2 linked regions of the Arabidopsis thaliana genome follow. The protein of the gene in region 1 purifies or fractionates together with the protein of each later gene. This does not show direct contact. Each region holds a gene or a part of one and is shown on either strand. Other genes may lie near its edges.

Evidence for each region. The genes of interacting proteins can lie anywhere in the genome.
Region 2: the proteins of AT1G29870 (region 1) and AT5G57655 fractionate together in Arabidopsis thaliana (co-fractionation; one large-scale study listed by BioGRID). This does not show direct contact.

What each region holds. Positions count from the first base shown.
Region 1 is NC_003070.9:10,456,395-10,460,633, forward strand, and holds AT1G29870 (tRNA synthetase class II (G, H, P and S) family protein), read right to left. Parts: upstream 2,389-4,239; coding exon 2,068-2,388; intron 1,984-2,067; coding exon 1,604-1,983; intron 1,534-1,603; coding exon 1,416-1,533; intron 1,331-1,415; coding exon 1,133-1,330; intron 1,046-1,132; coding exon 821-1,045; intron 731-820; coding exon 671-730; intron 598-670; coding exon 508-597; downstream 1-507. Other genes in the region: AT1G29880 (glycyl-tRNA synthetase / glycine-tRNA ligase), read right to left, coding at 3,268-3,500, 3,591-3,996, 4,092-4,172. UniProt on the Arabidopsis thaliana protein: Catalyzes the attachment of glycine to tRNA(Gly). Is also able produce diadenosine tetraphosphate (Ap4A), a universal pleiotropic signaling molecule needed for cell regulation pathways, by direct condensation of 2 ATPs.
Region 2 is NC_003076.8:23,345,118-23,350,596, reverse strand, and holds AT5G57655 (xylose isomerase family protein), read right to left. Parts: upstream 3,923-5,479; 5' UTR 3,568-3,922; coding exon 3,508-3,567; intron 3,404-3,507; coding exon 3,299-3,403; intron 3,191-3,298; coding exon 3,116-3,190; intron 3,005-3,115; coding exon 2,875-3,004; intron 2,791-2,874; coding exon 2,699-2,790; intron 2,482-2,698; coding exon 2,428-2,481; intron 2,225-2,427; coding exon 1,939-2,224; coding exon of another isoform or gene 1,877-1,938; exon of another isoform or gene 1,862-1,876; coding exon 1,628-1,861; intron 1,543-1,627; coding exon 1,472-1,542; intron 1,375-1,471; coding exon 1,334-1,374; intron 1,245-1,333; coding exon 1,145-1,244; intron 1,067-1,144; coding exon 917-1,066; intron 828-916; coding exon 792-827; 3' UTR 532-791; downstream 1-531. Other genes in the region: AT5G57650 (eukaryotic translation initiation factor-like protein), read left to right, coding at 4,312-4,334, 4,677-4,800; AT5G57640 (GCK domain-containing protein), read right to left, coding at 5,151-5,479.

The sequences.
Region 1 (4,239 bases):
TAAGCAAGTAGAGTAGTAGTAGTACAAACAAACAAACAAACTGCTTATGAGAACTTTGATTGCTCACACATGGGCTTCATTAGGTTTGGGCTTGTGTTTATTGTAGTCTCTAACAAGAGAAACATTGATAACCGAAACTTAACCTACAAATCTGGTATCGAGCTTTTTAAAGGACACTTAAAAAGAAAGAAAAAGAAAAACTTGTGACACCATAATTTTCTAGATTCAACTCAGCCGTTGGTAAAGCTAGAAAAGTAGAAAAGAGACAGAGATTTAGGTAAAGATTCATATGAGCCATGTTACATATCTGCAATAATTAATTGTTTGAAGATAAATAACATAAACATGAAAGACCCTAATCATATATGCTATTTCCCTAATTGTAAATAGTGAGTGTACTACTTCCATAATTATGTTTCATAAACGTACTAAATACCAACTTATCTCTTTATTATAAACCATCACCATGAGACAAAGAAGCTATTCAGTAAAACAATAGACTTCACTTCAGTCTACCTCCAAAGCTTCAACCACATTCTTTTGATTTCCCTTGAATGCAGGACCCAATTCTTTCATCTCAGGTGTAATAGCAAGTTTCTGAAATATAAGAGAATCACATGAAGGACAAGTTATATAGATAGAGGTGGAAATGTCGAGTAGCTCAAATTACCTCTACTTCTATAGGCTCTGCAAGTTTCTCTTGAGCCACAAGAGCATGGCCACTTTTTTCCTGCCATACAACAAAGAGTCCACAATCTACTTAAGTAAATATAAATAGGAACACCTACATATATCTAGTTGTAAAAGGTGAGTTTCTTACGGAGTGAGCACGTAAGTCGTAATCAGACCTATCTGCAATTCCAACACATTCAATCCAACCATATGAACACTCAATTTCAGCATCCCAACAATCGGTTGCATAGTGTGCCATTTCATTTGCAAGATGATGACGGAAGCGCAGGCGTTCCTTGTCTATTCCAAGACGGATAAGGAAAAGATACACTCTCCCAATGAAGAATCCTAGAGTCTCACTGTTCACATGCCCTAATACATTTTCAGTTGTAGAGATCAGTATTAGTTTTTTTTTCTTATCAAAAAGGAGGTAAGCGAATATGATTACAAATACACTGACCTTAGCAACAGCTTCGCCAAGGCAAAGTCTTTTTGCAAATTGGCCAGGTTTTTCTTGTTCTTCTCTTGGAAACATAAGGAGTTCAAGTTTTGCTACATCAGAGAACTTAGAATGTGACTTATGCTCAGGGTGAACAAAGTGCTCAATTTCTGCCAGAGTGAATTCACGAGTTCTAAGAAGCCCTTGACGTGGAGATATCTGCGTGAGAAACAAAGATCCCTTAAAAGAAAGATTCAGATAAACGTATACAATATATCAACTAGTAATATTGAAGGATATTCACCTCATTCCTAAAGACTCGACCAACTTGAGCCACGGCAAACGGAAGTTTTCTCCCATTCAAATTATAATAATCCTTGAAGTTGCAAAAACTGCCTTGAGCAGTTTCAGGACGCAAGTAACTGAAACACACCAACAAATAAATAAATAAAACTCAAGAAAGAAAGAATTATTACATGGAAAAAGACTCACCCTATCAACGAACCACTTGCTCCAAAGGAAGTTTGAAACATCAAGTTGAAGGGGCGAGGAGGATGAGAAAGTGGATTCTTCGTGACTGGAGCTGTGGAGCAGTGATTCCATACTCCACCAAGCTCTTCAGCAGAAAGATCTTCCACATGAGCTATAACTTTATCCAATTCAGCAGCATTCTCAGCAGAGATGGTAGGATCTTTCTTTCGGTTTTCACAATAACTTTTGACCAAGTGGTCCGCACGGTGAAATGCTCCATCTACCTCATCCTTGACCATAAGATCAGTGAACTTTTTTACATGCCCAGATGCGTTGAAAACGGCCTCTGGTGTCAAAGCTGTACAAGCAACCTCCATCATGTCCTCTTCATCAACAAAACACTGTATATCAAAGAAAATTCAAAATCAGCTCTTGTCTACCGAATTGTGCCAGAGATATATGTGAATGAATGAATGAATCCTCACCTTACGCCAGAGGCTAAGTATATTAAGTTCAACAGTACGACCATGAGGACCGAAATCGTAAAGTCCAGCGACGCCATGGTAGATATCGAAAGATTTATGGACGAACAAAAGCCGATCGAGAGTTTTGACCACTGCTTCCCGAAAATCCTCACGGTCCTTCTCGACCGCGGATTTCTCAGGCTTGGATTTGTTGGGAAGCTCAATCGCAGCGTTGGTCTCTGGTTTCGCTGCGTGGGAGTCCTCGAGAGTTCCGACGGCGAGTTCTTGATCTTCGACGGCCAAGGATTTCTCCCGAAGAAAAGATTGTTCGGGAGCGTCCATCGGGATCTGAATCGGAGCCAAAGTGGTTTGGAATCGTCAAGAAAAGTGTGAACTTGTCCGCTCACAATTTTGGTCTAGCTAGGGTTTTAATATGGGAAACTTCAGCAGGGTTTTGTTACTTTAGGATTTTTATTACAATGCGAAACTTGGTGCTCAAGCGATGAGTTTTTAAAAAAAAATATAAAATCTCTATTCGTTCTTAAACATTTTAATTGTAATTTCAATTAAATATTTTTTTAAATATATCTTGCCTATAGTCTATTGTATTAATTATTTGTATTTAATTATATAAATAACAATCATAAAATCATAAATATTGATAATCTTACTTTCCTTCATAACTTGCCTAATTGTGTTACGTCCTCCAAGATCGAGATTTCTATCCGCCTGCATGGCTGCATTATCATAAAACTTGGATTTAACTAACCCATTATTCGATATCAAAAACTTTTGAATGTGCTTTCCTCTGGTTTAGTCCATCTCTGCATCTAAACTAAAACCTAAAATAGTCAGTATATATGCACGATGGCGCTACCAACTGCCCAAGGATGCGTCAACTCTTTGCTTCTCTAACTTGTAACTTTGTAATCCTTAGCAAACTGTAAAAACAATGATCCTTCATACTTTTTTTTCTTAATGCAAACACAAACAATTCAGACCATAACTGGATGGACTGAAATTTGTGACCAAAATTTAGAAAATTAGCAGTAGAATGGACGAAAATATAACAGAGAGTTTATACTTTATAGCCACTTCGTCTCCAAATCTGGTATCGAACTTTTTACGTGACACTAAGAAACAAAACATTAAAAATGAGTAGATTCAGCAACAATTAATTTAACACTTTGGTTTTTAATTCGGAAAAAAACAAGGAGCTAGCTACTCGTCTGCAGCAGCAGAAGAATGGTGAGGGAAGGTTGCCCAGACGTCTTGCCACGTCATTTTCCCCTCTGAGACTGAGCTCACAACGGAAGCTGCCTCCTTCAAGGTGACTCGGACTTGATCTTTGCTGTCTCTTTCTCTGATTGTCACTGATGTATCCGAGTCCACTGTTATTGCAAATGGCACTCCAAGCTCATCGGTTCTCGCATATCTCTTCCCTATCGATGTACCTGTTCACACACAAACACAACAAATCTTTACTTGATTTGATCCATTTCAATATTTCAAAAAACTTCAATTCTCAACTTGTTTTTACGTACCAGTGATGTCAATCTTATGGGAGATACCGACAGAGGCGAGTTCCTTGGAAATAACTTTGGCTACTTCCTCGAATTGTTGGTTCTGAACAAGCGGGAAAACCGTGCACTTGATGGGAGCTACAAGAGGAGGGAAACGGAACAAGTTCAACTGCTCATCCCCTGCTTTGCTTGGCCTTGTGCTGAAACAATGCTCATACAGACAATATATGATCCGACCAATCCCAAACGATGGTTCAATCACTGATGGAGTGAAAACCCGCTGGTGCTCTTTCTTCTTCTCCTTTGATATAGACACCATGTTTTTCTTGATGTTCACGCTTTTCTTTAGGGTACACACGTAAAACTCCACTTCCCCTTTGGATTCCAGGGTTGCTTTCATCTCCATAGCTTCTTCCTCATTCATCGCCTAACAAAACATTACACGAAGCATGATATTTATTCTAAACCATCACCATATTATTAAAAAAAAAAGTTATTCAGTAAAACAGTTAAGAGTTCAACCTCCAAAGATTCAACCACATTCTTTTGATTTCCCTTGAATGCAAGACCCAGTTCTTTCTTCACAGGAGTTATCACAAGTTTCTGATATAAAAGATAACCATGTTAAGGACAAGTAATAAAGACAGAGATGAATGAATCTGTTCACTAA
Region 2 (5,479 bases), on another chromosome or scaffold:
CGACCTTTTTTCGAATAAAATATATAAAAATTAATTCATTCAACAACAAATAAAGAAATTTTCTAGAACCATCGACGGATAGTAATTAGGTTCAACATCATAGAAGACTCAATTATTGTAATACATCACGGTCGTCGCAAATACGAAATTAACAAAGTCATCACAACTATTTCATAGATACATCAAGTAGATAGGCTATGTTTCCCTAGTTTTCAAACCTTTCTTATCAAATACTATCAAAGATTTTGTCGAGAAATTTGTCAAATTAGGACTTTGAGTTTCCTTTAAATCTCAACAGAAAATTCTGAAATCATAACTAACGAAACGAAATGAATTGGATAAAGTTTTTATTGATGTTAGACCATTTTTAAGAATCAACGTTTTCAAACTCAAAACTCAAAGCTTAATGTGAAAATCATATATTGCTTTTCAAATTTTCATAAGGTAAGAAGAATTTTGATTGTATATATGTATATCGCTGTTTTAAACTTTCTCGTATAAAACCTCCTACAAACTTTACTATAGTCGAGTGAAGAAATAGATCGGAATTGCTCATTGGTCTTTGTCACAAAAACCGTAACTGAATCAAAGTAAAGGCCTAAACAGTTTTTTGTTATTCAATTTAAAGTAATTAGAGTGTGAAACCATAGTACATCAACTGAAATAATGAAACCAACCTCTCTAATCATCTTATTTTCCAATGTTTTGGTTTTCAAACTTCTCAAAGATGCGAGGGAAACTAAAAAAGACGATACTTTTAATAAACATAAAAAGCCTTCTTGTTCTTCTTCTTACATTGCAGATTGGAAAATCATCTCAGCGAGTTCCTGCAGATTTCGTTTCAAAAGACATCGATCATTGTGTGTTTTTCGTGTTTAACGAAACAAAACCAGAATTAATAGCAAGAAACTTGTACCTGTTTAGCAGAAGAAACCTTTGGTTCTCCAAACTCTTTAGCTTTCTTCTCAAGATACTCAAAATCAGCTTTTCCTTCTTCTATTTGCTTCCCAAGCTCAGAGTCCCAAGTTGCATATCGCTTGCGTACCAATTCACTTAGACTTCCCTCCTTTACCACACCGAAACCAAGTTAAAGCTACACTCTTTGGTTCTTTTATAAAACTTATCTATTCATATCTTAACTAACCTCCAAGATTTTGACTGCATTTCTCAGTCCACGAGCCATTGTATCCATTCCACTAATATGAGCAATGAATAAGTCTTCCACGTCTGTACTCTCTCTTCGCCTGTTTAATCAACCAAACATTATAAGCTTCTTTCTCGGTTTAATTTTGTATGAAACAGTAAAACATTGTGAATCAAGAATCGCTCTTACAGTTTAGCGTCAAAGTTGAAGCCGCCTGGAGCAATCCCACCCTGTTTCATATGTGAAAAACAGAAGCTCTTATGAGCTTACATTCAAAAATTTACAATGAAATTCCCAAAAATAGCGAGTTTCTTTAATATTACATACATTTTTGATGACACTCATCATAACCATGGTTGCTTCTCCAACATCTGTAAGAAACTGATCTGTATCCCATCCTGTTAAGAGAATGAGAGAACTTTGTTCAATCAGAATCTGGTTAGGAGGTGTTAACAATCAAGAGAGCTGAAATTGAAAAATTACCAGTTTGAGCATCGCCAGTGTTTGCATCAATGTTGCCAAGTAAACCATTAATTCTTGCAGTTTCAAGCTCGTGATGACAAGTGTGACCAGAGAGCGTGGCATGGTTACACTCAATGTTGAGCTTAAACTCATCAATAAGACCATATTTCCTCAAGAAATTGGCAGCTGTTGCAGCATCCCAGTCATACTGGTGCTTGGTGGGTTCTTGAGGCTTGGGCTCGATTAAAAGCGTGCCTGATAAAAAGAAGATTATTGTGCAATAACTCCCATAAGACTGAATACAGGACAAGAAAAAGAAGCAGTAGACTTACCTTTGAATCCAATCTTCTTCTTGTAAGCAACAGCAGCTTCAAAGAACCTGGCTAGATGATCAAGCTCTCTTCCCATATCAGTGTTCAAGAGTGTCTGATAACCTTCACGACCACCCCAAAAAACGTAGTTTTCACCACCTAAGTAATGTGTTACCTCCATGGCTTTCTTCACCTGAGCAGCAGCGTAAGCATACACTCCAACTTCAGAGCTGGTCGCTCCTCCGTGCATATAACGAGGATGCAAGAAAAGCTGAGCTGTTCCCCACAATGGTTTGATTTTGCTCCCCTGCATTTGAAGAAAACGAAGAACCTTTTTTTCTTAGCACATCAAACTAAGGAATGGTAACAAGATAGTACTGTTTCAGTGATAAAAAGATTCAATTATAAAATGGCATACATGAGTCTGTATTGGAGAATTGATTAACTACAAGAAGTATCTTCCAAAATCCAATGTGTAATAAGAACTGGAAAATTAACAAACTGAATCACCTTTTGGAGTTCTTTGGCGAGTTCGATAACTTCATCCAAGTTTTTGTTAGATTCCTGCAGATTAAGTATAAACAGGTTACAGGCGCTTTCTTTATGACTGAAACAAGTTAACATTGGGCCAACAAGAGCAAAACAAAGTTATCAAGTACCACAAGAAACAGCAAGCTGCAAAGGAAATATCAGGACCAAAATGGTTTATAACACCAGGCAATAAAGCAGATTGTAGTTTCAATGTAAAGCAAAATGGTGTAAGTTCAGAAGCTCGAGTTACCTCAAGTGTAGTGCCATCAGGTGCTATGTCTCTGTCATGAAAACACCACCAATCAACTCCAAGTTTCTTCAAGAACTCAAAGTTAGCTCTCACTGCATTAAACAACAATCAGTAACTCAAATCACAGTAACTCGATAACGAAGAGAAACTAACATAAAAACACAATCTGGACTTACTTCTTCTCTTAGCCATAGACACAGAGTTAGTACCATCTTCCCAAGGCCAATACTTAGTAGCAGCACCAAATGGATCACCTCCAGTCCCACGGAAAGTATGCCAAAACGCAACACTGAATCTAAACCAATCCTGTTCAAAAAATTCAGGACAACAAACAAACATCCCACACGTTTCTTCAAATCCATAAAAACATAACTCAAAAATTGTTGCAAGAAAATACAAACAAGAAAATAAAAGTACCTTCATTTTCTTCCCAAGAATCTCTTCTTCAGCGTTATACCACCTGTAAGCAAGTGGGTTCTTACTCGAAGGTCCCTGAAAAAATTCATCAACAACCAATTCATCTACACATGCAAACAACAAATCCACTAAAGTTTCCAACTTAAACCAACAGTTTTAAAGAGAAACATCACCATTGTTTACCTCATACTTAATCTTGGGGATTTCAGGGAAGAAATCACCTTGCCAGTCATCAGAATCACTACACTTGCCTCCCAAATCAGCAGGACATGTTGGTGGATCAGCAGACTTTACACACCAATCAAGATCAAATTTAAAAACTTTAATCTCGGATTATATTTCAATGATTGGAAGAACATTAAAAATTCGAGCTTTTGATTATTAAGTCTTACCACTAGAGATGACGCTGCGATGAAGCAGAGAAGGAGCATAAAAAACTCAACTTTCTTCATAGTTTTCAACGAACCTTGAACGATGGATGAAGCCCAAAACAAAGTTCTTGTAATAAAATCGAAAACGCAAGAGAGAAATTGAAAAAAAAAAAAAACTAAGCTTTGGAAGATTTGGATAAAAATCGCAAAGATAATATATATACAAACAGAGATTTTTTTAGATTTAAGTAAGTGATGATGATGATGATGATTAAGAATTAGTCACAGATAATGATGTGACGTAAGCAAAGTTTTGTTTGTTTTTGTGTGATTTTCAGTTTTGCCCCTTGACATAAATGAAATCGACGGTCGTGATTTTATAGGTGAGTTAAAGCAGTCGTACGTTTACTCTTTATCCGGAAACAACGTCGCGAATATCACGTTTCTGACTCAGCAAAATTATCCTTTTCTATTTTTAGGATCAATAATATTATGGATAGGTATTAAATCGAATTTTGTTGAGTTTTTTTTCATTACTTCCCAACAATAACATAATTTCGAATAACTACAAAGGGAAGAAAAAAATTCTAATATTGTCTGAAAATTATCTCACCCGTGAAAATGAAAAATTACATGTCAGTGTCCGTGACAGAACCGAGCACATTAAATGAAAATATTGCATGCTGATTAAAAAATGTTATGTTTAATCGGGCTAAAAATTTAACAAAAAGTCTCCTTATATTGGGACTTTAATATTTGGGCTAATTGAAGCATTTTTCCTCAGTAAGACTCTCTCTCCCCAGGCATTCAATTTGTTTGGTTTGGATGATATCGAAACTTACGATTTGGTGAGTTTCTGTTTGGATTGGCGAGCAATGCATGTTTTAGTTTTCCTTAGTGTTAGATCCTTCAATATTATTGCTGGCTTTTAGGGATATAAACTGATATGTCAAGGCAGATACATAAGTGAACGAGAGGGAAGTTTATGATAGTGTTAGGTCAGTAGTAACTTAAGCTAAAAAAGATCTGCTTCCTTGAGTTAATTGATCTTTTTTGATTAGCTAAATAGATCTGCTTCTTGAAGCACTTCAACTGTAATAATTTTATACTTGTGTGGTTTTTTAAAAGTATTATATTGATTTTAGCAGGACCTGATTGTGCTGATGATACTACTGCTCTCTGTTTCTTAGGTTTGATCGTGACTGGAAGAAGATTGAAGATTTTGTTGAAGATCATCTTGCAGTGATTACCACTGATCACTTCATGGACCGTATGGCTGCTATTCATGTTGAAGCGTATTGCGGAAGATCCTGAAGACCACTGCTGATGACTTTTATGTGCCAAAGGAATGTGCTTCTTTCTTTTACTTCTATCTCTTGTTTCAAAAGTTGAGCATAAGTACTACTCAAGTCTCACTTAAGATTCTATCATTGGATAAAAACTCTTGCACAAAGTCTTATCTTAAAAAAAATCAAAATGTATATTAAAATGGTCTTAGTTTTTTGTAGAAGAAGGTGATTACGACAGTATTTTATAGATGCATCCAAATTACATAACCAATGGTGTATATAAGAAGACACACCTAAACAAAATTAAGAGTAACGAAATTTGAATTTTCATTCAGATCAATGTAAGTCTCAATATGCTCATAAAAAAAGCTTTACCTAATTCTGATTCTGATGATCACTCTCATTACCCTCGGATCCCTCTGCTTCCTTCTCCTTCTTCTTTCCAGCTTCCAACTCGCGAAACGCCTTCCCGATCGCTGCAGCTTCAGCAGGCAGAATTGGCTCAGCATTCTCTTCTTGCAACCCGCTAAACGCCCTCGCAATGACTGCAGGCTCACCAGCCATAATAGCTTCCTTTTCCGCGTTCAACAACTCGCTCAACATCTTGGCCATCGCTCTAGCCTCACCAGCAAGAAGGGGCTCATAGTAAACAGGGTTATCATACATGCAAGTCTTAAAGATGAGTCTTGCCTCCTTACATTTAC